Linked DNA regions of Callithrix jacchus. The protein of the gene in region 5 purifies or fractionates together with the protein of the main gene of each other region. This does not show direct contact. Links are inferred from orthologs where the notes say so. Each region holds a gene or a part of one and is shown on either strand. Other genes may lie near its edges.

What was found.
Region 1: the proteins of BAG2 (region 5) and DNAJB1 purify together in Homo sapiens (affinity purification with mass spectrometry; 4 studies listed by BioGRID and IntAct, with this or other methods). This does not show direct contact. The link is inferred for Callithrix jacchus from reciprocal best matches to the Homo sapiens genes BAG2 and DNAJB1.
Region 2: the proteins of BAG2 (region 5) and HSF2 purify together in Homo sapiens (affinity purification with mass spectrometry; 4 studies listed by BioGRID and IntAct, with this or other methods). This does not show direct contact. The link is inferred for Callithrix jacchus from reciprocal best matches to the Homo sapiens genes BAG2 and HSF2.
Region 3: the proteins of BAG2 (region 5) and SNW1 purify together in Homo sapiens (affinity purification with mass spectrometry; 3 studies listed by BioGRID and IntAct, with this or other methods). This does not show direct contact. The link is inferred for Callithrix jacchus from reciprocal best matches to the Homo sapiens genes BAG2 and SNW1.
Region 4: the proteins of BAG2 (region 5) and SGTA purify together in Homo sapiens (affinity purification with mass spectrometry; 3 studies listed by BioGRID and IntAct, with this or other methods). This does not show direct contact. The link is inferred for Callithrix jacchus from reciprocal best matches to the Homo sapiens genes BAG2 and SGTA.
Region 6: the proteins of BAG2 (region 5) and DNAJB4 purify together in Homo sapiens (affinity purification with mass spectrometry; 4 studies listed by BioGRID and IntAct, with this or other methods). This does not show direct contact. The link is inferred for Callithrix jacchus from reciprocal best matches to the Homo sapiens genes BAG2 and DNAJB4.
Region 7: the proteins of BAG2 (region 5) and CEP170 purify together in Homo sapiens (affinity purification with mass spectrometry; 3 studies listed by BioGRID and IntAct, with this or other methods). This does not show direct contact. The link is inferred for Callithrix jacchus from reciprocal best matches to the Homo sapiens genes BAG2 and CEP170.

Annotation. Positions count from the first base shown.
Region 1 is NC_133523.1:13,295,148-13,299,223, reverse strand, and holds the start of DNAJB1 (dnaJ homolog subfamily B member 1), read left to right. Parts: upstream 1-1,276; 5' UTR 1,277-1,324; coding exon 1,325-1,535; intron 1,536-1,814; exon of another isoform or gene 1,815-2,124; intron 2,125-2,617; coding exon 2,618-3,198; intron 3,199-3,473; coding exon 3,474-3,704; 3' UTR 3,705-4,076. UniProt on the Homo sapiens protein: Interacts with HSP70 and can stimulate its ATPase activity. Stimulates the association between HSC70 and HIP. Negatively regulates heat shock-induced HSF1 transcriptional activity during the attenuation and recovery phase period of the heat shock response.
Region 2 is NC_133505.1:128,928,445-128,932,494, reverse strand, and holds the start of HSF2 (heat shock factor protein 2), read right to left. Parts: upstream 2,801-4,050; 5' UTR 2,722-2,800; coding exon 2,629-2,721; intron 2,359-2,628; exon of another isoform or gene 2,080-2,358; intron 1-2,079. UniProt on the Homo sapiens protein: DNA-binding protein that specifically binds heat shock promoter elements (HSE) and activates transcription. In higher eukaryotes, HSF is unable to bind to the HSE unless the cells are heat shocked.
Region 3 is NC_133509.1:112,696,542-112,700,041, reverse strand, and holds part of SNW1 (SNW domain-containing protein 1), read left to right. Parts: intron 1-3,294; coding exon 3,295-3,390; intron 3,391-3,471; coding exon 3,472-3,500. UniProt on the Homo sapiens protein: Involved in pre-mRNA splicing as component of the spliceosome. As a component of the minor spliceosome, involved in the splicing of U12-type introns in pre-mRNAs.
Region 4 is NC_133523.1:2,607,270-2,610,769, forward strand, and holds part of SGTA (small glutamine-rich tetratricopeptide repeat-containing protein alpha), read right to left. Parts: intron 2,959-3,500; coding exon 2,859-2,958; intron 1,920-2,858; coding exon 1,815-1,919; intron 932-1,814; coding exon 793-931; intron 62-792; coding exon 1-61. UniProt on the Homo sapiens protein: Co-chaperone that binds misfolded and hydrophobic patches-containing client proteins in the cytosol. Mediates their targeting to the endoplasmic reticulum but also regulates their sorting to the proteasome when targeting fails.
Region 5 is NC_133505.1:65,540,836-65,544,867, reverse strand, and holds the start of BAG2 (BAG family molecular chaperone regulator 2), read right to left. Parts: upstream 2,801-4,032; 5' UTR 2,429-2,800; coding exon 2,316-2,428; intron 1-2,315. UniProt on the Homo sapiens protein: Co-chaperone for HSP70 and HSC70 chaperone proteins. Acts as a nucleotide-exchange factor (NEF) promoting the release of ADP from the HSP70 and HSC70 proteins thereby triggering client/substrate protein release.
Region 6 is NC_133508.1:115,232,952-115,236,451, reverse strand, and holds part of DNAJB4 (dnaJ homolog subfamily B member 4), read right to left. Parts: intron 985-3,500; coding exon 416-984; intron 1-415. UniProt on the Homo sapiens protein: Probable chaperone. Stimulates ATP hydrolysis and the folding of unfolded proteins mediated by HSPA1A/B (in vitro).
Region 7 is NC_133520.1:42,978,452-42,981,951, forward strand, and holds part of CEP170 (centrosomal protein of 170 kDa), read left to right. Parts: coding exon 1-1,278; intron 1,279-2,027; exon of another isoform or gene 2,028-2,130; intron 2,131-3,500.

The DNA.
Region 1 (4,076 bases), on a different chromosome or scaffold from region 5:
TGCTGGTGGGTTCTTTGTTCATTTTATTTTCTCATTATGTTGGTTTTTTGTTTTGAGAGGGAGTCTTGCTCTGTCACCAGGCTGGAGTGCAGTGGCCCGATCTTGGCTCACTGCAACCTTAGCCGCCCCGGTTCAAGCAATTCTCCTGCCTCACCCTCCCAAGTAGCTGAGACGACAGGTGCATGCCACCAGGCCTGGCTAATTTTTTTGTGTTTTTAGTAGAGACGGGGTTTCACCATTTGGCCAGGATGGTCTCAATCTCTTGACCTTGTGATCTGCCTGCCTCAACTTCCCAAAGTGCTGGGATTACAGAAAGTGCCGGCCTTTTTTTTTTTTTGAGATGGAGTTTTGCTCTGTTGCCCAGGCTAGAGTGCAATGGCTGATCTCAGCTCACTGCAACCTCTGCCTCCCGTGTTTAAACTATTCTCAGGCCTCAGCCTCCCAAGTACCTGGGATTACAGGTGTGTACCACCGCACCTGACAAATTTGTTATTTTTAGGAGAGACAGGGTATCACCATGTTGGCCAGGCTGGTTTCGAACTCCTAACCTCAGGCGATCCACCCAAAGTGCTGGGATTCCAGGCGTGAGCCACAGCGCGCTGCCTTTTGGTCATTTTAAACAGCTTCCTTATGTTGCCTAGGCTGGTCTCCAACTCCTAGCCTCAAGCGATCCTCCCGTCTTGGCCTCAGAAAGTGATGGGACTACAGACGTGAGGCCCGGCGCCCAGCCTGGTGCGTTCTTTTATTTCCATATTACAAATAAAACGGGGCTCCTGGGTTAGGCAGACACAGGCAGTTCGTGCAGCGTCACCCGGAGGGAGCCCACAGCGGGCCCAACGAGACAAGTGTGGGCAAGTTCATCATCTCCTGGGGAAAGGTCGGGGTAGCCCCAGGCCCCACCCCTTCCCTAAACGGCACCTTCGTCGTGCCTCCCGACCCACTGACTCAGGCGGAGGGCGGGGCGCAGAGTCGCTGGGGCCGCGTAGAGAGTGAAAGAAGGCCACCACTGGCTCGTCCCGGAAGTTGGGCGGGGCCTCCTCCGACCTGGGTGCGCGCCGCGGGGAGGCGTTGCCGACGGCGGAGCAGGAGGGGGTGTGGCTCCGCGCGGGCGGCCGTTGACGCCGAGGCCCCGCTCCGGATGTCGCGCGTCGCGGACTGGGCGGCGGCGATTGGCCGGCCCGGCTGGGGGGGGCGGGGCGGAAGGTTCTGGAGGGGGCTGGCGGGCTCTGGAAGCTTCCGCCGGACGGGTATATAGAGTCCGGGACCGGGCGGCGGTGGAGCCGGGGTACGGCGGTTGTGGGGCGGCGGGCCGCAGGCGGGGGCCATGGGCAAAGACTACTACCAGACGCTGGGCCTGTCCCGCGGCGCGTCGGACGAGGAGATCAAGCGGGCCTACCGTCGCCAGGCGCTGCGCTACCACCCGGACAAGAACAAGGAGCCCGGCGCCGAGGAGAAGTTCAAGGAGATCGCCGAGGCCTACGACGTGCTAAGCGACCCGCGCAAGCGCGAGATCTTTGACCGCTACGGGGAGGAAGGTGCGTGGGCGCGGCCCCGCCGTTTGACAGGCGGGGAAACCGAGGCACGCCGGCCGCTCTGGGTGCCTCCCCCCTCCGGGGAGGACGCCCCGGGCCCGGGGGCTAAGCTGCTCCGCCCTCGGGCCAAGCGGGCCTCCGCCCTCGGATTGGTGGCCGCGGGGTGGGAGGAGGAGCCTTGGCCCAGCCGCTCGCCCAGAATCTTCTAGCAAGTCTGGGGCTGCCCCTCCCTGGGCGCGTCCTCCCGAGGCCCGGAGCAGCCCCGGGGTGCGGTGCAGGGGCAGTGGGGCCGTGTGGGAGCCGGAGGGCGGACGACGGGGACGGCGCGGCGGAGCGCACTGCGGGCCGGGGCTTACCTAGGTTCGGCCGCCGGGGTCTGCAGGGCGGCGTCTCAGGTTCAGCTGCGGGCGCCGGGCTGCGAATGCGGGCGCCGACCCTCGCGGGCTTGCGGGCGGGGATGGGATAATACCTGGAAAGCGATGACCTGGCCCCGGCCGGGCACGCAGGAGGCAGCGGCGCCCACTGCGGCCGCCCAGGTGCAGAGAGCGGGGCTTTTTGTCCATGTGCTGGTTGATGACTCAGGCTGGATTCTGGGCTTAATTGGAGGAATGAACTGACTTTCTATGCAAGCATGGTGGCAGTGAATGCTAGTGTGTGAGGGTTCAAAAACTCCCCATCTATTTTTTTTCCTTATTTTTACTCTTCTCATCAGTGGTCCTAAAATGTTGAGAGTAAACACTTACCGAAAGCCCACCCTGGACCGTGTCTTAAGCCATCCTTGGTGACATAGCCAGGGGGATGAGTCAGTCCAGGGATGGTAGGGCATGGGTGGCACCTGGAGGTGGATACCTAACTGCATGAGTCCTTTGCCACTGTCACACTACACGGAAGTACTGGGGTGGGGGGCGTCTCTGCTGCTGCAGTGAGAGGTAGAAACCTGGGGTTCTTCCTCGCTCTCCCCTGACAGGCTAAAAAAAGTTCCTCCCCCATGGCTTCCAAGCTTCCTCCCCCCAGCCCCCAAAAGGGAAGCTCCTTGAGAGAGGCTGCTGTTCAGCCATCTGACTGCTTCCAATTCTGCTTTTTAGGGCTAAAGGGCAGCGGCCCCAGTGGCGGTAGCGGTGGTGGTGCCAATGGTACCTCTTTCAGCTACACATTCCATGGAGATCCTCATGCCATGTTTGCTGAATTCTTCGGTGGCAGAAATCCCTTTGACACCTTTTTTGGGCAGCGGAACGGGGAGGAAGGCATGGACATTGACGACCCATTCTCTGGCTTCCATATGGGCATGGGTGGCTTCACCAACATGAACTTTGGCCGCTCCCGCCCTGCCCAAGAGCCCGCCCGAAAGAAGCAAGATCCTCCAGTCACCCACGACCTTCGGGTCTCCCTTGAAGAGATCTACAGCGGCTGCACCAAGAAGATGAAAATCTCCCACAAGCGGCTAAACCCCGATGGAAAGAGCATTCGAAATGAAGACAAAATCTTGACCATCGAAGTGAAGAAGGGGTGGAAAGAAGGGACCAAAATCACATTCCCCAAGGAAGGAGACCAGACCTCCAACAACATTCCAGCTGATATTGTCTTTGTTTTAAAGGACAAGCCACACAATATCTTTAAGAGAGATGGCTCTGATGTCATTTATCCTGCCAGGATCAGCCTCCGGGAGGTAAGGTGCCAGGTGGGGCAGTGGCTGTAGATGGCTGCTCTTTGAAGCAGATAACTATTTGCTGAGCAAATGTGTTGGGGCATGTGGTACATGCCAGGTTAGGGGCACAAAGTGAACAGGACTGCTGGAGCTTTCATGGTGGTGACGTGTAGATCTGGGAACCAGGTCTTGGCTGCACAGGCCTGATGGGTCTTACTCTTTGCCAGATGGCCTCTGGGCAAGAGCTGAGCCTCTTGAGCCAGCTTCCATCTAATGCTGTCCCTTTGCTTTCCAAGGCTTTGTGTGGCTGCACAGTGAACGTCCCTACTCTGGACGGCAGGACCATACCCGTGGTGTTCAAAGATGTCATCAGGCCTGGCATGCGTCGAAAAGTTCCTGGAGAAGGCCTCCCCCTCCCCAAAACGCCCGAGAAACGTGGGGACCTCATTATTGAGTTTGAAGTGATCTTCCCCGAAAGGATTCCCCAGACATCAAGATCTGCACTTGAGAAGGTTCTTCCGATATAGCTACCTGAGCTCTCCAGACTGACTAGGGACCTTTCCAGAGCTCAAGGATTTCTGGACCTTTCTACCTATTGTGGACCATGAGAGGGCGGAGGGCCCAGGGAGGGTTTTCATACTGCTGAATGTTTTCCAGAGCATATATTACAATCTTTCAGAGTCATACACTAGACTTAAGTGGTTTTTTGAGCAATAGGACATCAGGTGGTGGGAACAGCAGGAAAAGGCATTCCAGTCTGCCCCACTGGGTCCGGCAGCCCTCCCAGGAGGGGCCCACATCCTCCTCCTCCAGTCCCTGTCCAGGGGTGAGAGGCAGACAGACCAGCAGCTGGACTTGATGCTTGTGTCCCTTTGCTTCTGGCTGGTAGATGGTGTCAA
Region 2 (4,050 bases), about 63 Mb from region 5:
TTTTCTAGGAATTTCATTTATTCATTAAAAAAAAAAAGATGAAAGTAACTTATTTTGTTTTTTCCACCTAACATTATTGTTAAAGTTTTACTTTTCAGGTTAGCACTGCTTTTAGAAAAATCTATGCAAAGTATGAGTGAGACAGCTGCCTAAGCTATGAGGCTTAGCCCTAGACAACATTTATTCAGAATTGTTCACAGACTTATGGCAACCAACATTTTTGGTATAAAACTAAATATGATGTCAACTTGTATTATGTCTAGTCCTATCAGAGGAAGACTGATCTGGGGGCTCAGAAATCTATTAGGGTTAGGGGTGTCCAATCTTTTGGTTTTCCTGGGTCACATTGGAAGAAGTATTGTCTTGGGCCACAAATAAAATACACTAACACTAATGATAGCTGATGAACTTAAAAACAAAATAGCAAAAATATCTCATGTTTCTTTAAGAAAGTTTATTCATTTGTATTGGGTCACATACAAAGCTATCCTGGGTGGAATCTGGGCCTCAGGTTGGACAAGCTTGTGTTAGGGTCTCATCTCCAATCTTGGCTAGCTATATAATTATGGATAAAGAATCCCACCAGTCCAAGCCTCAAATCCTCATCTATACAATGCTGAGGCTAACCTAAGATGATCTCTAAGATTCATTTCAAACATAATTTTATCTTCATCATTCCTACCACTCCCATTACATTTCAAGGTATTTCATTTATTCATCAAACAATTATTAAACACCTACTGTGTCTCTAGCACAAACAGTTACTGAGTGTACATTTTGATCATACCACTGGCATATTAGAAAATTAGTTAACACATAAGCTTAAAGTTAATAATGGGATTAAGAAAAAATAGTTAAGTGGTTTATTTGGTTTAGAACTCACAGAATGATGGATTTATGGATCAGTACAAAACTCTCCACATTTGACACTGCTCAGAAAATAAGAATGTTATTAAAATACTGTGACTAATCAAAATATAACAGGTCTACCACTGACACGATAAAACCAACTGCCAATATGTATAAACTCTATTTCTGGCCCATAAAAGACAAAAAGGTATGATAAAGTCAGCTTTCATGGGGACAGAATCTCAGTCCAATCTCTAACACGAATACATTTCTGAATAACAGTCTGTGCTGATCCTTCTTGTCAACTTTTAATCCTTCCAACTGATGAAAAACATGAGACATCTGTTTATTTTAAGTACATGCTAGTGGCTGGCTTTTTCATCTTCACTTAGCTTTGTACAATTGTACAGAATGCATTAAATGCTTAATACAAACACACACAATGCCTCCCACTCAACTCCTAGCAGGGAATGGGGGTAAAAGGATAACTCAGATAAGGAACACGCAAAAATTAAATCCTAGAAGAAAGATGGAAAAAAGAACAAATAATAACACAAGGCAAACTATGGTATTAAATAGTTAAAACTTCAGGGTCTTAATAATGTGTTAACTCCCTGTTAAGACAAAAATAAATAAAACTGAGGGTTCCTGTAATAGGAAGAGAACAGGAAAGAAAGGCAGGAGGAGGAGGGGAGATAACATTTACTCAGCACGTTACAGGTGCCAGGCACTATGCAGGTAGTTTTCGCTTATTCTTCTCAGGAACTCACACATGAAAATATGCCTCAACAGGTGACCATCTGCAGTAAGAGTTAACCATTGCCCTTCATAAAAAGATTCCAACAGCCTAAGGGTGTATTCTAACGCACTGGCACTGTGGACGTAAACAATCATTCTGCCTAGAATCTTGTATTTGGAACTGGAAGAGGTCTTGGATCACCTAGGCAACCCATCCATCTTATAAACGATTAACCTAGACCAGACAAGTTAAGGGGCTGGACTAAGGTCATCCTTGTTTAGAAGCAGAGTTGGGATCAAACCAATCATCAATACATGGGTATGCCCCTCTGCTGGTAACTGTTCAGTGAAATTGAGTCATTACTAAGTTACTGACCACCTATTAGTACTTTATTAAAACAATCCTAATTATCCGATTATACAAACAGCACAGAATCTCCAAAGAATTTGTCAATTTCTATATATGTTTTAAACCAACTGATAACCAGTAACCTGTGTTTGAATCTGTCTATTTCCCTGACTGCTCTCCTCATTAAGATCCCAGATGCAGAGCGGTGTTGGAGGAACGAGAGGTGATCGGTCGCTGAGGTAAGGATCGCCTCCTATAAAGCCCCACGTCGATGATCCTGGCCCTAGGCTCCCTGTCCCCTCCGCGATTTGTAACCCCTGAGCCGGGCTGGAGGACGGAGGATGAGTGTGCAGTAACGTGGCTCCCGCGCCCTCGGCTCGCCGATTACCCTCGCGACGCCGGGCCGGTTCCGAACGCGGACTGGACCGTTAAGGGGCTGCCTGGGCCGCTACGCCCCGCGCGGGCCGCCCCTCCCCCACCGCGGCCTGAGGCGAGAGGCGCTGCCGGCCGGGCCCCCACGGCTCCCCGAGAGAACAATACAGGGGGTCCCCCGAGAGACCGTACACCAAGGCTCGCACCGCGGGCCTCGCAGACAGCGGCGAGCCGCAAGGCCGCGAGAGACCACCCCGCAGGAGAGCGAGTGAGGAGGCGGTTATTTAGGGGGTTCAGAGGCCGCCGTGGCCTGACCGTACCTGACTCCAGGTGATGAACTCGTTAGTGTGGGTTTCCTCCACAAGCGTCCACAGCTTGCTGAGGAAAGCCGGCACGTTCGAACTCTGCTTCATTGTTAACGCGGCGCAGGGATTCCAAATTCTACACCCGAACACTGTGGTAGTGGCGACGGCGGTGAAGGCAGCAGCTCCCGGAGAACGCCCACAACGCAGGCGCAGCAGATCTCGGTCCCCGCCCCCCAACCCCGCCAGGCGCGCGGTGAGGCCGAGAGGCAGGGCTGCCGCACGTGACGGACAAGTCTCCTCGCTCCGCCTGTTCGCGCAGTGGTTCCGCGCCGTTCCAGTCCCTGGCCAATCCCAGAGGCCGACCGCACGACAGAGAAAAGTGATTGGCTACTACAGACATGAAGGGGGCGGGAGCAGAAAGGGGTGGGAGCAGAAGGGGGTGGGAGCAGAAGGGGGTGGTAGCAGAAAGGGGTGCTGCCTTCTCATTTGCCTTTTATACAGAAGGCTTGAGGGTAGCCGGCCTTTGGCTTGGGCGACCGTGTTTGGTTGTTTCACGTGGAATAGCTTATGGTTTCTGGACTGTGGCTGGGAAGCTACAAAAAGCCCTCTAGGGCCTTTGAGTCATAAGTTTGGCAGCCAAAGTGTGGTTTCCACCAGTTTAGAGAAAGGATCATTCGCGTAAGGAAAAAGCCAGCTCTTAAGCATGATGTGCTAGGCCTCAAATTGAAACTATCTTAAAAATAATGAACCTTGTTCTTAAGTTTTCATTGGAAGAAAAAGCCCTCTTTAAAATGCATTTATCAAAAAGAGCAGTTTAAAAAACTCACTCTCTACTGCTTAGAGCTGTAAACCAGGAACTGCAATTGATAGTACATCATGTGCTGTTTTTAATCCAGTCATCAAGTGCCTACTCTGTACCAGAATAAAAAGAAACAGGCTTGTTTATATTATTTTAATTAAAATAGTTGTTCCTGTATATACTTTACAGATCTATTTTTTTTTTTGACCTGAGAGATTGGTATAGTGGGAAAAAATAATGAAACAAAGCCTCTTGGACATTTTACTGTGTATTAAAATAAGCCTGTACTGTCATTTAGAGCAATTCCTTAGCTACCAGTGCCAGTTTTTCCCATTTCTTGATTGGGAGTAAGATCTATCTTTTTACCCATTAAGAGTGTCTTTAATAATATGGTTGTGAATATGCTTTGAAAATATGAAGTCTACAAAATTAAACATTTATTTATTTTTACAAAAGCTGGCATGTGAAGACAAAAACTTACAAACAAGTAAGAGATAACACATTATACAAAAATTCAGCATAGAATGGGTTTAGTTCTTGGGTAAATATAAAATAGTACATTAAATATATATATCTTCCAAAGAGCAAATATTTATTGAATACTGCCTTTGTGCTCAGCACTGGGATATTGGCTGAAG
Region 3 (3,500 bases), on a different chromosome or scaffold from region 5:
CAGCAAATGACTCTTGTATGCTAAATTACTATTGACAGTTTATGTTGAACATGTATGACTACCAGGGAACTGTTTACTTAGAATCATTTCCTATAATGATTGCTATGGAGAAGTGATAAACTCTTCATGATTAACTCTTCATAGACTTGGTATATTTTTCTAGTGTTGTTATATAATTTTCAGCTTATGGTTGTATAAGTTTTTCCATCATGGGAGGAAATAAGACTTTTGAGGTCAGTTAGTAGCTATGTGATCTTAATGTACTGAGCCTCACTCTTTTCAATAGAGTAAGTTTTATGATCCCTTTCAAAATGAACACTCTTAGAGTATGATGACACTAATAGCTCACATATCAGTAGTATGTGTTTTGTGCTAAAACATCTTATGCTGTCCTACCTGATCCCTCTTCTCATTCCGGAGAAAAACAAGCTGGAGATTTCAGCGAATAGCCATGAGATAGTTTTTTTCTGAGCAATCAATAGCTTATAGAAAGTTCTGTAGGACCTAAAATATAAACTTATTTGTTTATTCACTCATTCATTCATTTATTCTTTAAAATAGAGATGCAGTCTTCCCATGTTTCTCAGGCTGGTCTTGAATTCCTGGGCTCAAGTTATACTCCAACCTTGGCCTTCCAAAGTGCTGGGATTACAGGCATGAATCATATAAACACCTTTAGCATGTAACAGAGCATCTCTAAAATTCATTTATATATTTGTTTGTACAAAAAAATTGATCGAATATCTCCTTCGGACTAGTCATTATTATAAGCACAGGAGATACTTTGTTTTTTTTTTTTTGAGACAATCTCCCTCTGTTCCTCAGGCTGAAGGCAGTGGCACGATCTCTGTTCACTGCCACCTCTGCGTCCTGGATTCAAATGATTCTCCTGCCTCAACCTCCCAAGTAGCTGGGATTACAGGCACCAACCACCACACCCAGCTAATTTTTTATTTTTTTAGTAGAGACGGGGTTTCACCATGTTAGCCAGGCTGGTCTCCAACTCCTGACCTCCGGTGATCCGCCTGCCTTGGCCTCCCAAAGTGTTGTGATTACAGGCATGAGCCACCACACCTGGCCAGTAGATACTTTAATAATAAGATTGCCCAAGGCTGGGCGCAGTGGCTCACTCCTCTAACCTCAGCACTTTGGGAGGCTAAGGCAGGCAAATTATGAGGTCAGGAGTTGGAGACCATCCTGGCCAATCGGGTGAAACCCTGTCTGTACTGAAAAAAAAAAAAAAAAAAAATTACCCAGGCCTGGTGGCACGTGCCTGTAGTCCCAGCTACTCAGGAGGCTGAGGCAGGAGAATCTCTTGAACCCGGGAGGCGGAAATTTTAGTGAGCCGAGATTTCGCCACTGACTCTAGCCTGGGTGACAGAGCAAGTCTCTGTCTCAAAAAAAAAAGAAAGAAAAAAATATATATATGTATTTTGCTGACAAGTAATATGGGTATTATCATTGTGCATACCTCCTAGGGTTGATAAAAAGCTTATTTAGTTAATAAACTCTAAAAAACAGGCATATAAAGTGCTTACTAAATAGTAGCTATTATTATTTTGATTTTTTTTTTTTTTTTTTTTTTGAGACAGTTTTGTTCTTGTTCAGGCTGGAGTGCAATGGTGCAATCTTGGCTCACAGCAACCTCTGCCTCCTGGGTGCAAATGATTCTCCTGCCTCGGCTCTCATGTTCCTGGCATTACAGGCACCCATTAGCATGCCAGGCTTATTTTTCTATTTTTAGTAGAGATGGGGTTCTCCATGTTGGTCAGACTGGTCTTGAACTCCTGACCTCAGGTGATCTGCAGCCTCAGCCTCCCACAGTGCTGGGATTACAGGTGTGAGCCACTATGCCCAGCCCTATTTTAATTGCTTTAATAGGGGAGACATAATAAACAAGTAAAGTAGATAAATAATTTCATGCTGTGAACAGTCTTGATCACAGTAAACAGTGTTATGGAGCAAATGATTGGGTGGGGAGGGGTTGCCACTTTAGCAAGGGCAGTCAGAAGAAGCCTCACTAAAGCAGGACCTTTGATCTGAAATACACAGATTGGGAGCTTACTTGAAGAACAATGAACAGCACTCTGTAAAGGCCTAGAATTGGGGAAAAGCATGTTATGTTCAAGAAACAGATGATAAGCTAGTGTGACTGAAGCATAATGAGTGAGAGAGTAAGAGTTATAAGGGGAGATTGAAGGCATAGGCAAAGTCAGGTCAAGTTGTGTAAGCCATGAAGTGGCTCACACTTTTTTGCTCTGTTGTTTGGAGTATAAAATTAGAAATAGCATCCATTTCCTTTAAACTGTTTTAAAGAATGAAGTATGATAGACTTTATTAATATAAGACTGCTTGTAGCACTAAACATTTCTACAAAAAAATTCTGAAGATCTCGAGTGCCTAGGAATTTTATTTTCTTTGATAGTTATAAGTTGTCCTTTTAATGTACATCAAAGAATTTCTGACCAAAGCATTAAAGTGTAGAATGCCTATTTATTGAATTTTCTGTATTTCTTTTTTACTTTAATATATGCCATGAAACTTTTTATGAAAATATTTAAGAAGCATAGATGGACCTGAAAGCAACCAATATTCTATTTGTTAAGGGCCTGCCACATCAGCATCACCCTAACAGAAGCCATGTTGGGCCTACTAGAAGTCATATAACAGGCCTCAATTTGGATAATGGATATAAAATAAGTTGTATATATAGAGTATATATATTTTTCTTTTTTTTCCTTTTGTCTTTTCACGGAAGAAAGTGTTCTGGGTTTTTTAACTGTGGCACATGTTTATTTTCTTAGTCTGTGAATAGAGTTGACAGCAGAAAAGAGAAGCGTTATAAGTAGGATGAGGTCAATAAAATTTTCCAGGCCCAGTGACTTTGGAAATAATACTTGGTAACCTGAATTAAATTCTGATGAGTTTGTAATCCAAGATAATGGTCCTATAGGCAATTTCTATTATCATTAATTTCAAGACCTAGTGAGCCTCAAAAATAGAGATCATTGATGCATGATTTTGTTGGCATAGTTTATTTGGACACTGACTTGATTAGAAGATCTCAAATAATTTAAATGCATGAGGTCAAGGGAAAATTATCAACTTATAGCCAGGATAGCAATTTGTGTATATTTATTTTAATCATCCTTGGTTTTAAAATCTAAAAGACAAAATCTGAGTGTCCCAAATTTTTAAGTCTATTGAGAGGACGTGTTGACATCTGAAGTGGCTTAATGAGGTTTCTTTTCATTGTTTGCTTTTCTTAAGCCTACTTGTGTCTGAACATTTTAGGTCATTTACAGCAAATACACTGACCTGGTTCCAAAGGAGGTTATGAATGCAGATGACCCAGACCTGCAAAGGCCCGATGAAGAAGCTATTAAAGAGGTAACAGGGAATTGATATATTTGATGACTATTTACATCCTGATTAACTTCCAAACTCTCAATGTGATGTTTCCTATTTCAGATAACAGAAAAGACAAGAGTAGCCTTAGA
Region 4 (3,500 bases), on a different chromosome or scaffold from region 5:
TGGTCATGAAGCCGGGGTTGTTCAGCAGGCCGGCGATGTCGATGCTGCCCGCGCCTCCCGTCTGGGGGTGAGAACAGCCTGGTGAGTGGGGCCTGGATCAGGGGCCACGATGAGTAAGCCCCCTCAAGACAGCGGCCCCTCGGGGCTCAGACATTCTACCAACCCTGCGGCCAGAGGCTGCTGAGGCAGGCGGCACACAGCGCAGGCCGGCTGGGGGCCAGCCCCGTCTACCGTCCACGCCTCTACTTCCTGCATTCCGCCGCTCTGACACCTTGGGGCCTCGCTGGCGTGGCAGAGCTGGCCCCTCCTGGAGTGGCCACTTCCCAGAGAGAGCAGACGACTCCCCCAGGAACGCCCCTTAGAAATACACACCCACCGACCTAGAACCCACACCCCTAGCACCTCCCTGATCACCTCAGAGCCACAATCCACCTGCCCCAGCCACCCCCAGCCAGGGACCAGGCGACCAGGGCAGCCCCCAGGCCTAGGTCCAGTGAAACAGCTCAAACTGGCCAACCCTAAGCCTCGCCACACGACCCACAGTGAGGGTCTGTATGTGGCCTCTCCCCACCTCCCGCCTAGCCCTGCAGCCAGCCTCCTGCCTCCAGGGGTCTGGGAGCAGGAACCCACTCCTCACAACAGTCACTTCCACGGGCGCGTCTCACCACTGACTGAGACCCCGGACCCTCACGACAGGCAGGTTAAGCCGAGAGCTGGTGGTGCGCCCAAGGACCTGTCCCCACCCGCCAGTCAACCCTGCATTCTGGGGCCACTCGCCCCCGCTGCACTCACAGGGCTGGGGGCCTCCCGCAGCTTCAGCTCTGCGATCTTGAGATTGGACTTGTACGTCTCGTTGTCGGGGTCCAGCTCTAGGGCCTTCTTGTAGTAGGCCACGGCCTCCACGTGCTTGTTCAGGCTGGAAAGCGCCAGGCTGGGGAGAGTGCCGGGGACAGCCTGGTCCCATCTGCCCTGCTCTGGGAGGCCCCACCCAGTCCCCCCTCCCCAGCGGCCCGGCAGCCCCTGTGCACTGTCAACTCGGTGGAGGCAAACCTGGCTTTCGAGGGGTCCAGAGTGGGACTGAGGGAGACAGACATGAGAAGACCCGAGGCACAAGAACTGGTGTCCCCACGGGGCCACGCAGGACTTCAAGGCCTGAGGGGGCTGAGGAGGGAGCGGGCAGGCATGGGGTCACAGGAAAAGCGTGGATGTGGTCTGTGCCGTGCTTCCTGGCACAGGGCACCGAGGACCCTTGGAACCTCTGAGGGACAGACATGTCTCCCACCATCCACAAGCACCTCGACCCCCACCTGAGTCTTCACTACTGAGGTGACTCGGGGGCCCCTAGAGAGCCCAGGGCGGGTCCTGGGGAGACCGAATCACACAGACTTTGAGCATTGGAAGCAGCAGGCAGAGGCACCCTCGTGCTGGGGGGGCAGCGCCGGCCCCACGGGGCACAGGCTCCTGCCCTGGGGACCTCCTGCCTCGCCCTCGGACCCCTCCTGTGTCCTTCATCATAAACCAGGTGCTCCCCTGAGCTCTTGGAGCTGCCTGTGCAAGCTACGGCGCCTGAGCGGGGCCTGTGGGAACCCCAGCGCGCAGCCGGTCGGGGAGAAGCAAGGGTCCCGGGATCTCCGGCTGGCAGCTGACGCGGGGCGGTCTGTGGGACTGAGCCCGTGGCCTGTAGGGCCCACGGCTAGTGTCAAGGCTGAACCGACCGGGGTGGGAGAATCGGTGCGGGTGTGGAAAAGGCCACACGGGAGGAAGCAGGAGCACGCAGGAGAAAAGGGGCCCCGGACGGCACTCACGGCCCTCACCCCATCCTGCCGTAGGCCTTGCTGTAGGCCGGGTCTATGCAGATGGCCCGCTCGCAGTCCTGCACGGCACCCGCGTAGTTACCGAGTTTGCTGTAGGCCGCGGCTCTGGGGAAGTAAAGGCAGGGCAGGTACCTCACCAGCAGCTCTGAGCTGTGGGCAGCCCTGGAGGGAAGCCTCAGTGCTGCGTTCCTCTCCCGCTTCCTGGAGGCGCAGCCTCAGTTTCCCGGTCTGTAAAATGGGGCTGGTGGGGAGAGCTGAGAGGTGTGGCTGCCGAGATGCTCTTACAAAGATGTGGGCTCAGAGCACCAACGGCCGCTCGGGACTGCAACTCTGGACTTTATTTACAAAAAATGTTCCGACCCACAGCAAAGAGTGCAGGAAACGCACACCCAAGTTTTATCACCAAATTTACTGACGTATCAATAAAAAAAGAACTCAGACCAGGTCAGGGCGCAGTGGCTCACGCCTGTAATCCCTCTGTCACTCAGGGTAGAGTGCAGTGGTGCGATCTTGGCTCACTGCAACCTTTGCCTCCTGGGTTCAGGCAATTCTCTTGCCTCAGCCTCCTGAGTAGCTGGGACTACAGGCACCTGCCACTACACTAGGCTAATATTTGTATTTTTAGTAGAGACAGGGTTTCGCCATGTTGGTCAGGCTGGTCTTCAACTCCTGACCTCAGGTGATCCGCCTGCCTTGGCCTCCCAAAGTGCTGGGATTACAGATGTGAGCCAGCACGCCTGGCCCCCGGACTAACTGTTTTTACATTTTCTGTGGAGAGAGGGGTCTTGCTATGTTGCCCAGGCTGGTCCTGAACTCCTGGCCTCAAGTCATCCTCCCACCGTGGACTCCAAGAGCGCCGGGCATGCCGCCTGATTTTAACGTCAGCATCGACTCTCCGTGACCCTCTTGCTGGCCACCTGATGCTTGTTCCTGGCCTGGGACCCCTGGTGAACCCCATCTACAGTGCAGAGGCCTCTCCCACCTCCGGTCCTTGCTAAGCACCCGGGAGACCGCCCCTGCCCTGGGCAGGCCCTGAGCTGGTACCTGTTGCAGAAATAGACGGCGTTGGCGGGGTTGAGCTCGATGGCCTTTCCGTAGAAATGCACAGCCGCTTCAAAGTTTTCCACCTTCATCTGCTCATTTCCTAAAGAGAGAAAAACCCTGGGGCGTTCGCAAAGACCGAGGGGCCTCGGCGCCACACGCGGCTCTTCTGGGCGCCTAGGATTCAACACGGACGCGGGCTTGGGAGGCGCCTGCATCTATGGGGGGGTTCTCTAGTTGCAGGGACTTAGGGAGATGGAGGCAGGGGCGGCAGGGCCTGGCCTGTGTCTGGCAATGGTGGCTGTCACTGCCCGGACGGCGACGGCTGGGAACGGAAGGGTTAATGCGGCTCACTGGCCCAGGGAGCGAACTGTCTCTTTTGCTATAATTTTTGGAAAGAGCCCAGGTGGAGGCCTGCGTTCTAGAATACTCATGTGATGTCTTCTGACTTCACAGGCAATGCAGCTTCTCTCTAAGGTGCAGCTGGCAGGGCGGTAAAAAGCCCAGCTGTGGCCGGGCACGGTGGCTCACGCCTGTAATCCCAGCACTCTGGGAAGCCGAGGTGGGCAAATCACAAGGTCAAGAGAGTGAGACCATCCTGGCCAACAGGGTGAAACCCTGTCTCTACTGAAAAATACAAAAATT
Region 5 (4,032 bases):
TTAGATAAATTCCATTAGAGATAAATAAAAACCTTTAACAGTTAGTAGAACTGCTGTCAAACATTTTAAATATCATGTAGGTCAGTTCATACTCCAGGTCACAAAACATTTGGCATAATCCTATTTTCAGTTTCATAGGGAAGAAATTTCTTACTCAATTGATAGGACCAATGTGGTTAGGGAACGTTAAGTGCACACAGCTAAGTACAAACTGTAAGGTTTTATTCTACCCAGTTACACTACTTTATTACTCAACATACAATCAAACTACTAGAGCAAAATTACATAAGAGTTTCCTAGTTTCTTTTAAAAATCAACCTTGTTGTACTCATGATTCTCGTTTTAATAGTGTAGTGTTCTGTGCCATTGCCCATGTGGTTTCAAAAAAACTTTAATAGGATCAGTATTAGCATTTTTTCTCTATTTTTGCTTACCTTCAGAAATCCTTTTCAGCCAGTACTACTTTTTTAAAAAGAAGAAAAAAAGCCTACAAAAGTCTAGAACTACTAAAAAAAAAAGGCCTTGAAACAAACAGCCACATATTAATCAGACTTTTCTCAACTCAAATATTAAGCAAGTTGTAATTTAATCAGTGATGTGCAGTAATCAGAATTCATTTTACATTAATCAAACATTAGAATATAATAATCTTCAAAACCTGAGGCTTTATTTTAAAGAGGAGCACTTCAGAGTGCTTTTGTACCTACCACATGTGAGGCATTTCAAGTTGGAGGACAATGACTCCGCTTGAAGGAAGGCAGGGTGGAGTAGCATCCTCCCTATTCCTTTAGGAAAAAATCTTTTCTTTCTAAGGGAGAGCCAGAGTGAAGTGGTTGAGAACATGCCCTTAACATTCTTAAGATATGGAGAAGTGTGGGTTACTTGTTACGTGGCTCCCTAAGGAGAAACATTATCAGTTGGAGGGACTTCAAGTAACTGAAGCCACTAATTTCTGCTTTCGCTCTACTTTTCCTGGGAGTGGAATGGGTCAGGTTTGCTAGTACATAGAAAATCCATGAGGAAGCATTACTTCTCTCTTCCACTTGCCTAATTCTGAGTGGAACCCCAAAACCCGGCGTAGGGCTGAGGTTTCTCTGCTGCCATCCATGAAATTATCGTGAGTGGAGAATCTCTCCCTCTCTGGCTCTTTTCTCCCAGTAGTAACAGTAACAGTGCCTCACTAGTTAAGAGATACCGTGGTTATTGAAGTATTTTCTCGGCAAACGGACACTTCATGCTTGGGTATACTAATGGAGGGAGATAAAGACACACACAGAGTGTTTCCCCAACTTTTTGGCTCACATGCCTCTGCTCATGCACAACCTAGAGAAAAAGATGGAACCAACTCCTGTGTACAGATTCAGGGGATTGCAGGTGCCTAACACGATTTTCTTTTAACTACACTTGTTCACAAAAATTTCACAGGAACTTGAAACAAACATTCAACAGGAAGTATATAAAACTTTTCAATACACCGTTAAAGTCCTTCCATAAATCTATTAACATTAAATTGTTTCGAAATTCTACGCACGTCTACTTCTATATTACCTAATAAAATCTTAAGCAAGAAAAGGAGAAAACTACCTTTTCATGCTTTCAGGCCAGAGACTATCACTTAGTCTTCCATGCAGGGAGGTGCCCAGTACGGAGAAACTAACGGAGCGGCTGAATACCGCCAGCGAGGTTAGGGGAGACAGGGGAGGCAGCAACGTCTTCACTGCACTAAACACCCAGTAACCCTACCACCCACCCCTCACCCCTCTCTAATCTGCTCTCAATGGATCGCGGGGTTGGTTTTGTTTTTTTCCATTTTTGCTCCGAAGTGCTCTGAAGCAGGGAAACTTAATTTCACGTGAAGGGCCACTGTAAACTGCTGCCTCCTTTAAAAACGCATACGGGAAAAGAGTAAGTTAAAAACATCTGGGGCCACACAGAAGGTTCTAGAAGTTCTGCAGACCCCGGCTGCCACAGTCCTTAATCGCATGGAATCTCACCGGGACTTTTATATCCTCTGATTTTTTTTCCCACTCTCCAACACCCAGGTAAGTCAGAGTGTGGCCACTGATTACGCCCTCACAGGTTTAGCTTAAATCGAACGCGTCCTCTGTCGGACTAGGGGAGAAAATCCGAGAAACAAAACTGCTCCACGTCCATCCACCACAAATCTCAACAGGAAACTTCTGCGGCCGCCGCCTCACTGTGCCCCAGACCCCGGCCAGCCACACACGGCCTCCGTCCGCGAACCGCGGCGCAGCTAGCAGGACGCCCGAGACCGCCCGCCCGTCAGCCCGCTAGCCCGCCAGCCCGCCGCTCACCTGAGCTCCAGCTGGTCCAGGCTCTCCAACAGGCGGCTGGAGCGGTCGGCCATGGAGGAGGAGCGGCAGAAGCGCCCCTCGTTGGCTTTAGCGTTAATCTTCGCTTGAGCCATCTAAGCTTCTGACGTGGGGCAGCCGAGAGGTCACCGGCCCCTCCGGCGGCGGCGAATGGAGCGCTCCTGCGGCTGCAAGCGCTGCCGTCACTACGCGGGAGCCCGCCCTCCCCGCCTCTGACGCCCGCGGGAGCAACCCTAGAGGACCCGCTAACACCGCGGCTGCCGCGTGGCCAAACAAGGGCAGGCGCGGCGCCCGCGGGGCTCGGGGATGCCGGGCCAGCGAGGGAGCAGCCGCGGCCGGAGGAAGAGGTGCGCGGACCACGAGCGCAAGGCTCTGAGGCGCCAGGAGGGGCGCACGCAGAGACGTAGCGCTTAATGTGGTCTGCCGGGTCTGCCGCTTGTCTCGTCAGCTCCTCAGACCCAGGAACTACCCGAAGCGCGCGCGGACCCACAGACCACCCCCAGCTCCGCCCTGCGAGGCCCCGCCTCTCCGTGCAGACTAAAAGTAACCAACTCCCCCCACGCGAAGGTTCCTATCGGTCGATGGGCTGTGGGTGTATTGCTCAGTAATGGGTTCGTTTAGTTTCTCCCAGCACCCATAATTCAAAGCAAGAACAACGACATTTGAGTCCTGTGATATGGGGAGAAAACGGCCTTATGTAAAACACAAGGCAGTACAGCTTCTAGGCAGACTACACGCACCTGACCTTCCTATTACCACTCTTTCCTGAGATGAGTAATGAAAGCACCTACAGCAACTGAAGCTTTGAAAAAGAAAAAGCTATTCCATCTCTCCTTGTCTAGCTAGATGTGGGAAGCAAGGTGAATATATTTCATTTTTACCATTCTATTTTGAATTTGAGACTGGGTCTGTCACCCAGGTTGGAGTACAGTGGCACGATCACGACTTAGTGCAGCCCTGACCTCCTGGGTTCCATCGGTCCACCCACCTCAGCCTCCCAAAGTGCTGGATTACACGCTGGGCTTAATGAAGGGGTTTTTAATTTTTGCTATTAAAATTATGCCTGTTAAGTGAACCAAGATCTCGCCAACTGCTTCACACCAGCCAGGGCGACAGGGCGAGACTTTGTCTCAAAAAATAATAATGATAATACTTCTGAGTGAAATAATTGGTATTAAGGAGTCTTCAACTTTTAAAAATCTTCTGTTAACAAAAAGATGCAGAAGGCCTCTAGGTCAGGCATGAGCTGTAGTTGACAAAAGATGGAGTAGAGCTGAGAGTATAAAGACTGGACTACTTAAAAAGTGAGGCTTTGGTCCCTCTCCTGATAGCTCTATGCCTCTCATTGCAAGGATGAAAATCTACAAGGCACAGAAAATGATAGATAATAATAGTTTAAAGTTGAACCACCACCTTTAATCAAAGAGATCAAAGCAGTTTAAATACTTGAACAGAGTTGAAGCCCTTAAGGCTGGATCCCAATTCCCTCTGAACTCATTCTAAATCCTAATTAACTATTGGGGTAGGGGATTATTTGACCTTATTAAAAATACTCTGTCATGACACAAACGAAATCAAAACACATTTTGTGAGTGGTCTGAAAGCCTATCAAGTGACTTTGGAATCATCCTGAACTCTTTTTCTCTCATAGCCTACCTAGATCCAGCCTATTAGTAAATCCCATCAATTTTACCTTCAG
Region 6 (3,500 bases), on a different chromosome or scaffold from region 5:
CCACCCTGCCCAGCTAATTTTTGTATTTTTAAGTAGAGACGGGGTTTCACCATGTTGGTCAGGCTGGTCTTGAAGCCCTGACCTCATGATCCCGCCGCCTAAGCCTCCCAAAGTGCTGGGATTACAGGCATGAGCCACCACACCCGGCTCATAAGCTGCATTTGTAAAAGCAGGGTCATATAGTACATAATTCAGTTAGCACTTCAAATTAACACTTTAATTATAAGTAATTAAAGTTAGAAAATATAATCACATCCAAAAACGAGGCATAATAGCAGTACTATCTTAGAGGATTGTTATAATAATATTTTTAATGTGTAATAGGCATTAAATAAATTAGCTATTATCTAGATACACTCCCTATGATCAATTACATAAATATTTGGTCTCAGAATTTTAGGTCCTACCAACTTACCTCTCGTAAACTAATTTTAGCAGTATAAATTATATTTGATCCATCTCTTTTAAATTTTGGATGATCTTTGTCTTTAATGATAAAAACAATGTCTGCTGGAATACTGTTTGGTGTTTCATCTCCTTCTCTTGGAAAAGTAATTTTGGTGCCTTCTTTCCACCCTTTTTTAATCTCAATGGTAAGAATTTTGTCCTCAGATCTGTAACTCCTTCCATCAGCATTTAGCCTTTTTCGAGAAATCTTCATCCGTTTGGTACAACCATTATATATCTCTTCAAGTGATACTCTAAGTTCATGAATAACTGGAGGATCTTGTTTGAGGCGGGATGGCCCCACAGAATTCCTGTCTCTTGGATATCCATTCATGCTGAAACCAAAGGCACTAAAAGGATCACCATCTATTTCCATTTCTTCAGAATCTCTACCACCACCCATTCGTCTTCCAAAGAAAATTTCAAAGGGGTTGGACCCTCCAAAAAATGCAGCAAATGTAGCATGAGGATCGCCATGAAAGGTGTACCGGAAAGTACCTCCTTGTCCATCAGTACCTCCAGCTCCTCCTTTCAACCCTAATTGAAGAGATAAGCATGATTAGAAAAAAGCTTGCAACTCTTGAAAGTCAAACTTTCAAAAATTGTATTGCTAATAAACTTCGGCTAACTTACATTAAAATTTATTAATATTGGTCAGAAATGCCATTTTAACTAAATATAGAACAGCTATAAAACTCTTGATGATTATATCCTAAGTTAAATTGTTAGTTTTAAAATTCTTCCTCCAAATCAGCATCTTTAATAATTTATTCCTGAATCTTTGTTCCTCAGGTAAGTAAGGAAAATAAAATAAGGCCAGGTACAGTGAGTCACGCCTGTAATCCCAGCACTTTGGGAGGCTGAGGCAGGCGGATCACCTGAAGTCAGAAGTTCAAGACCAGCCTGGTCTACATGATGAAACCTTGTCTCTACTAAATATACAAAAAATTAGCTGGGCATGGTGGCAGGCACCTATAATCCTAGCTACTCAGGGGGCTGAAGCAGGAGAATCGCTTCAACCCAGGAAGCGAAGGTTACAGTGAGCCAAGATCGTGCCACTGCACACCAGCCCAGTCAACAGTGCAAGACTCTGTCTCAAGAAAAAAAAGAAAAAGAAAAGAAAACTGGGAACTGCTTATCTTATAAACTACTGATCTGGAATGTTGAAGTATATAAATTATGTAAGTATCTACTTATAAATAATAAGTTTTTAAAAGATGTCAGTTGAAAGGTCTTCAATAATCAATACAAAGTACAGAACCTAAATCTTTAATTTGTATTACAATTGAACAATATATAAAATAGAAAATACATAAATATATTAATAAAATATATAGCAATATAAAATACCATATTCATACTGTTTATACATATAAACAAAAATACCATATTCATGCTGTTTTTATATATTTTATATGGAAATATATAAAAATATAATGTAATAAAAATCATATTCATACTAACTAGTTTTATTTCAGATCATTTTTTACTGTATGAGAATCAAAATAGGGCCAGATGCAGTGGCTCACGCCTGTAATCCCAGCATTTTGGGAGGCCAAGGTGGGCAGATTACTTGAAGTCAGGAGTTTGAGACCAGCCTGACCAACATGGTGAAACCCCGTCTCTACTAAAAATACAAAATTAGCCAGGCATGGTGGCACATGCCTGTAATCCCAGCTACCTGGGAAGCTGGGGCAGGAGAATCACTTGAACCTGGGAGGTGAAGGCTGCAGTGAGCCAAGATTGCACCGCTGCACTCCAGCCTGGGCAGCAGGAGCAAAACTCTGTCTCAGAATGAATGAATGAATGAATAAATAAATAAATAAATAAAATTAAATTAAATATAACTCTGTGGTAGAAAGTGAAAAAATTCTAATAACGAGGGCACTCTATGAAACTGTACTCTTAGACACTGAAATTATTATTCCTACCCTCAATACAAAAATTATTTATCTAGGCATATCACATCTTAGCATTAATTTCAATGCTTTTAAGAAGACTGAAATCAACAGCTGTAAACCTTGACATGTAAGGTCTTTGTATGGGTTACTTCTGTCTCTTGTGAACAACCCACCTCAGGCAACAATATAGTGATGTTTTGACCCTTTTCTTTCACACAACATTTTCCACTATGTATAAAAAGAAATGTTCTACTAAAACCCATAAAACAACAGTATAGTGATCTTTTAAGGGGTCAATACTAATAAGGATTTCTATCATTACAATATCAGCAGTTTCTGAGTGAGCATTAAGCGAATTCCTAACCAGGAAACAAGCAGAAAAGAATCTAAACATCATAAAATTACGAAAAATTCAACAGATTAAGCTAATGTTTCCTAACAGAGAGTGATCTGAAGGCAGGAAATCTATTCATTTTGTATTGCTCATGCATACAGGGCTGAAAATTGTAGGCATTCATGCTTAGTGAATGAAGGGAATGAACTAATTCCTAAAGTCCTTCTTAATCAAAACTTAAAAAGTTTGATTTGTCTTGAGTATCAGTACAGAGAAAAAGGCAGAAGCAAAAACAACGTAAAATATAATCATGTATATACATATAAGAGATATTTAACACTTTAAAATGCCATTAACACACAGCATACTTTAAAGAAACTTAGTTTTGCTTACGTCTTATTCTACATTTGGCTTCTTCCATTAAAAGTTATATATGTACTCTATTTCATCTAACAGAGTCTCAAGTCATATCTAAATTTTTATCTTCACCCATGAATAGAAATCTGGAGCAACCAAGAGAGACCTAATAATCTGAAAATTGTCAAAATATGTATTGAACAATATATCCAAATAGCAGTTAGGGAAATTCCTTGTAGAAACTGAATGACAAATATAAGCAGGACAAGAACTTTTCATATGCAGCTCACCCAAATTTCCCTTTTGTAAATTTTAGTAGTATAATTATAACTCCAAATGTTAAAAAGCCAATGGCAGATTTTTTTAAAGGACAGAATAATATGTAGCTCAAGGTCATGACCCAGGTGACTCAACCAATGCTTAAATTATTCAAATCATTTTATCCTTCATCTCATAGACTT
Region 7 (3,500 bases), on a different chromosome or scaffold from region 5:
AAAGAATGGCACAAAGTGAGAGCAAGAGAAGAAAAGCCGAGGAAATTCTGAAAACTCAGACTCCAAAGGGAGGCGACAAGAAGGAATCCTCCAAGTCATTAGTGCGACAAGGGAGCTTCACTATAGAAAAGCCCAGCTCAAACATACCCATAGAACTTATTCCCCATATAAATAAACAGAATACTTCTACTCCTTCTTCTTTAGCGTTAACATCTGCAAGTAGGATACGGGAAAGAAGTGAGTGTTTGGATCCTGATTCTAGTATGGACACAACCCTTATTCTAAAAGACACAGAAGCGGTAATGGCTTTTCTAGAAGCTAAACTACGTGAAGATAATAAAACTGATGAAGGACCAGATACTCCTAGTTATAATAGAGACAATTCTATTTCACCAGAATCTGATGTAGATACAGCTAGTACAATCAGTCTGGTTACTGGAGAAACTGAGAGAAAGTCTACCCAAAAGCGAAAGAGTTTTACCAGCCTCTATAAAGATAGGTGTTCCACAGGTTCTCCTTCCAAAGATGTTACAAAAGCATCATCTTCAGGTGCTAGGGAAAAAATTGAAAAGAAAACAAAAAGTCGTTCCACAGATGTGGGTTCAAGAGCAGATGGTCGTAAATTTGTTCAATCTAGTGGGAGAATAAGACAGCCTTCAGTGGACCTAACAGATGATGACCAAACCTCCAGTGTACCTCATTCTGCTATCTCTGATATTATGTCATCTGATCAAGAAACTTATTCTTGTAAACCTCATGCTCGGACTCCCCTTACCTCAGCTGATGAGCATGTACATTCCAAACTGGAAGGAAGTAAAGTAGTGAAATCTAAGACTTCTCCTGTAGTACCTGGTTCATCCAGTAAATCCACCACTCTTCCAAGGCCACGACCTACCAGGACTTCCCTCTTGCGCAGAGCACGACTTGGTGAAGCTTCAGACAGTGAACTTGCCGATGCTGACAAAGCATCTGTTGCTTCTGAAGTATCCACAACAAGTTCTACATCAAAACCTCCCACAGGAAGGCGCAACATCTCTCGGATTGATTTATTGGCTCAGCCTCGTAGAACACGACTTGGCTCACTGTCAGCTCGTAGTGACTCTGAAGCAACAATTTCTAGAAGTAGTGCCTCTTCGAGGACCGCAGAAGCCATCATTAGAAGTGGAGCCAGATTAGTACCATCAGATAAATTTTCTCCTAGAATTAGAGCTAACAGTATTTCTCGACTCTCAGACTCCAAGGTCAAAAGTATGACCTCAACTCATGGCTCTGCATCAGGTAAATTGGATCCAGATTTTGAATAGCATTAGCATGTTGTATATTTTGGGGTACCTTTTTTAAAAAAAATTAAGTCTCTAGTTGTCTTCCCAAGATACTCATTCAAAAGAAAAACGTTATGATATACAGGGTTTTTTTTTCCTATGAAATAACTTTATTTAGCCTAGTAAATGGAAAAGTCAGAAGTTATATATACTTCCAATTAAAGTCCTGGGGCAAAATAGTGATTTCAAAAATTAGGAATTCATTGAGCAGATTTAGCAGTTTTAATTTTCCAGTTGGTGAAATATTTGGATTTGTGTGTCAAAATTAGATTATCTGGAATTATCTGGTTTAAATAATAGGAATTAACATTGTGCTTCTAAAAGCATGTATTTAACCTTTAAATATCCTCACATAATTCAAAGCGGTGAAGAACTTGAAAAAAAGCAGTATATGCTTTATTATTCCTTTCAGAGTTAAGTGAAATAATATTTTGTTCTTTTTTTTCTTACCTATTTTGAATGTCTTTCGTTCTTTATCTATACTTTTTAAAGTTAAATTTGTTTACAGTTGGAGCAGGTGAAAACTAATCCTTAATTTATTTCAGTGGAAGAAGATGAATTCATGGGGAATCACTCAGCATATACTGGTCAAACCGAGCTGTAGAAATTTTACTGGTTATGAACATTATCTCACAAAGTGCTGTTATATCATTTAACCCTAGTAATTAGGTGTAATTGAATATAATAACTACAAAAAGTACTTACTCTCCACCAGAATTTAACTGCTATTATTATATTTGTTTGCTTATGTACTTCATAGTCAGAGCTGAAGCCATTGAGATACATGTGTGACCAAAGAGTGATGAGGTGGATATTTGTTTGTATCCTGTAAGCATGCTCTCATTACTTCATAATGAGCTTATATGAGGGCGTGGCTGAAAAGGCCAATGTGGGAGAGCATCTGTTATAACAGACATGAAGATGGCTGATTATTTTCGGTCAGCAGACATCTAAGTGAGCCCTAAGTCTTGAGTTAAGTAAGAGTGGAGGGGAAGTTGATGTGAAATCTCATCTTTTTATTTTTGATTGGTTCACATCTACCACACTGTGTCCTACAAGACCCAGAAGGAACGGTACTTTGCATACGATACTTTTTTACCTTTCTTCCTCTTTTTACTGCTGCTCTCCTCCACTCCATTCACCTGTCTCTCTTTGCTGGTCAGTGAGTTTGGTAATGATGGTCACTGTCTCTAGTAGGAATGGATGTAGGCTGAAGCCAGATAACATATAATCATGATTCTAATAAAACATAGACATCATTTTCCTTATTACCCCAGTCTTCATTTCCATACTTGAAGCTTTGGCTGGCAGTTCACAAATTTATTGCCAAATATTTTAAAACTAACTACTGTATTTTGGTTGATTTTTGTTCTGTTGTTGCTTATAGCTCTAACTCTTCAATTCACATTTCATCTATACTGCATTTCCTGATGAAATTCTTCTGCTATCCTCCGTGTTTTATCACCTCATCCCCATTTAAGTACATTAAGATATGTATATATTCTCCTGTCTTAATGTAATTGGTATGTTACCAAGTAGCTTGGAGTACCTCTTAACACATGATGTGGCCTTATTCCTCGATATTTAGGATAAGGCTTGAGATGCAGGCTAAATATGATTACATCAGCAAGTCTAAGAAACAACTGCAAGTTGCTATTATAAAGATAAATTTCATTTCTGCTGCCTTGAATACAGAACTTGATAAATGTTCAGTTAGTTGTCTGTGTCCAAAAAGAACCTTGAATTGTGTATGAAATTTCCTAGGACAAATTGAGGTATATGATTTTGGTCTTTTCATACTTAATAGCAGTAAATTAAATAATTAGACTCATGGAATATTAGAGTTAGGAGGGTTATTCCCTTGAGAGAACTGAGGCCAAGAGAAGAAATAACCTGCCTTATCCACATGGCTGTAGCAGGTATGAGAATTTTGTCATGCCCAGCCTGTTGTTTTTCGACCATATTTATTCTAGCTCTAAGAAATAGTTTAGTGTTTACTTGTGAGCAAGCTTCGAGAAGACAGAATCTACTGGATTATTATCAGGAGCATATGCAAGGTCAATATACAATATAAAGGTTTTGGTATCGTTTACTAAAATCTTTGCTGCTCTGATGTTTTACCCAGTGTATATTCTTTATTCCACCTTATGAGCTTAAAGCCACATTGTAATCTAGGGT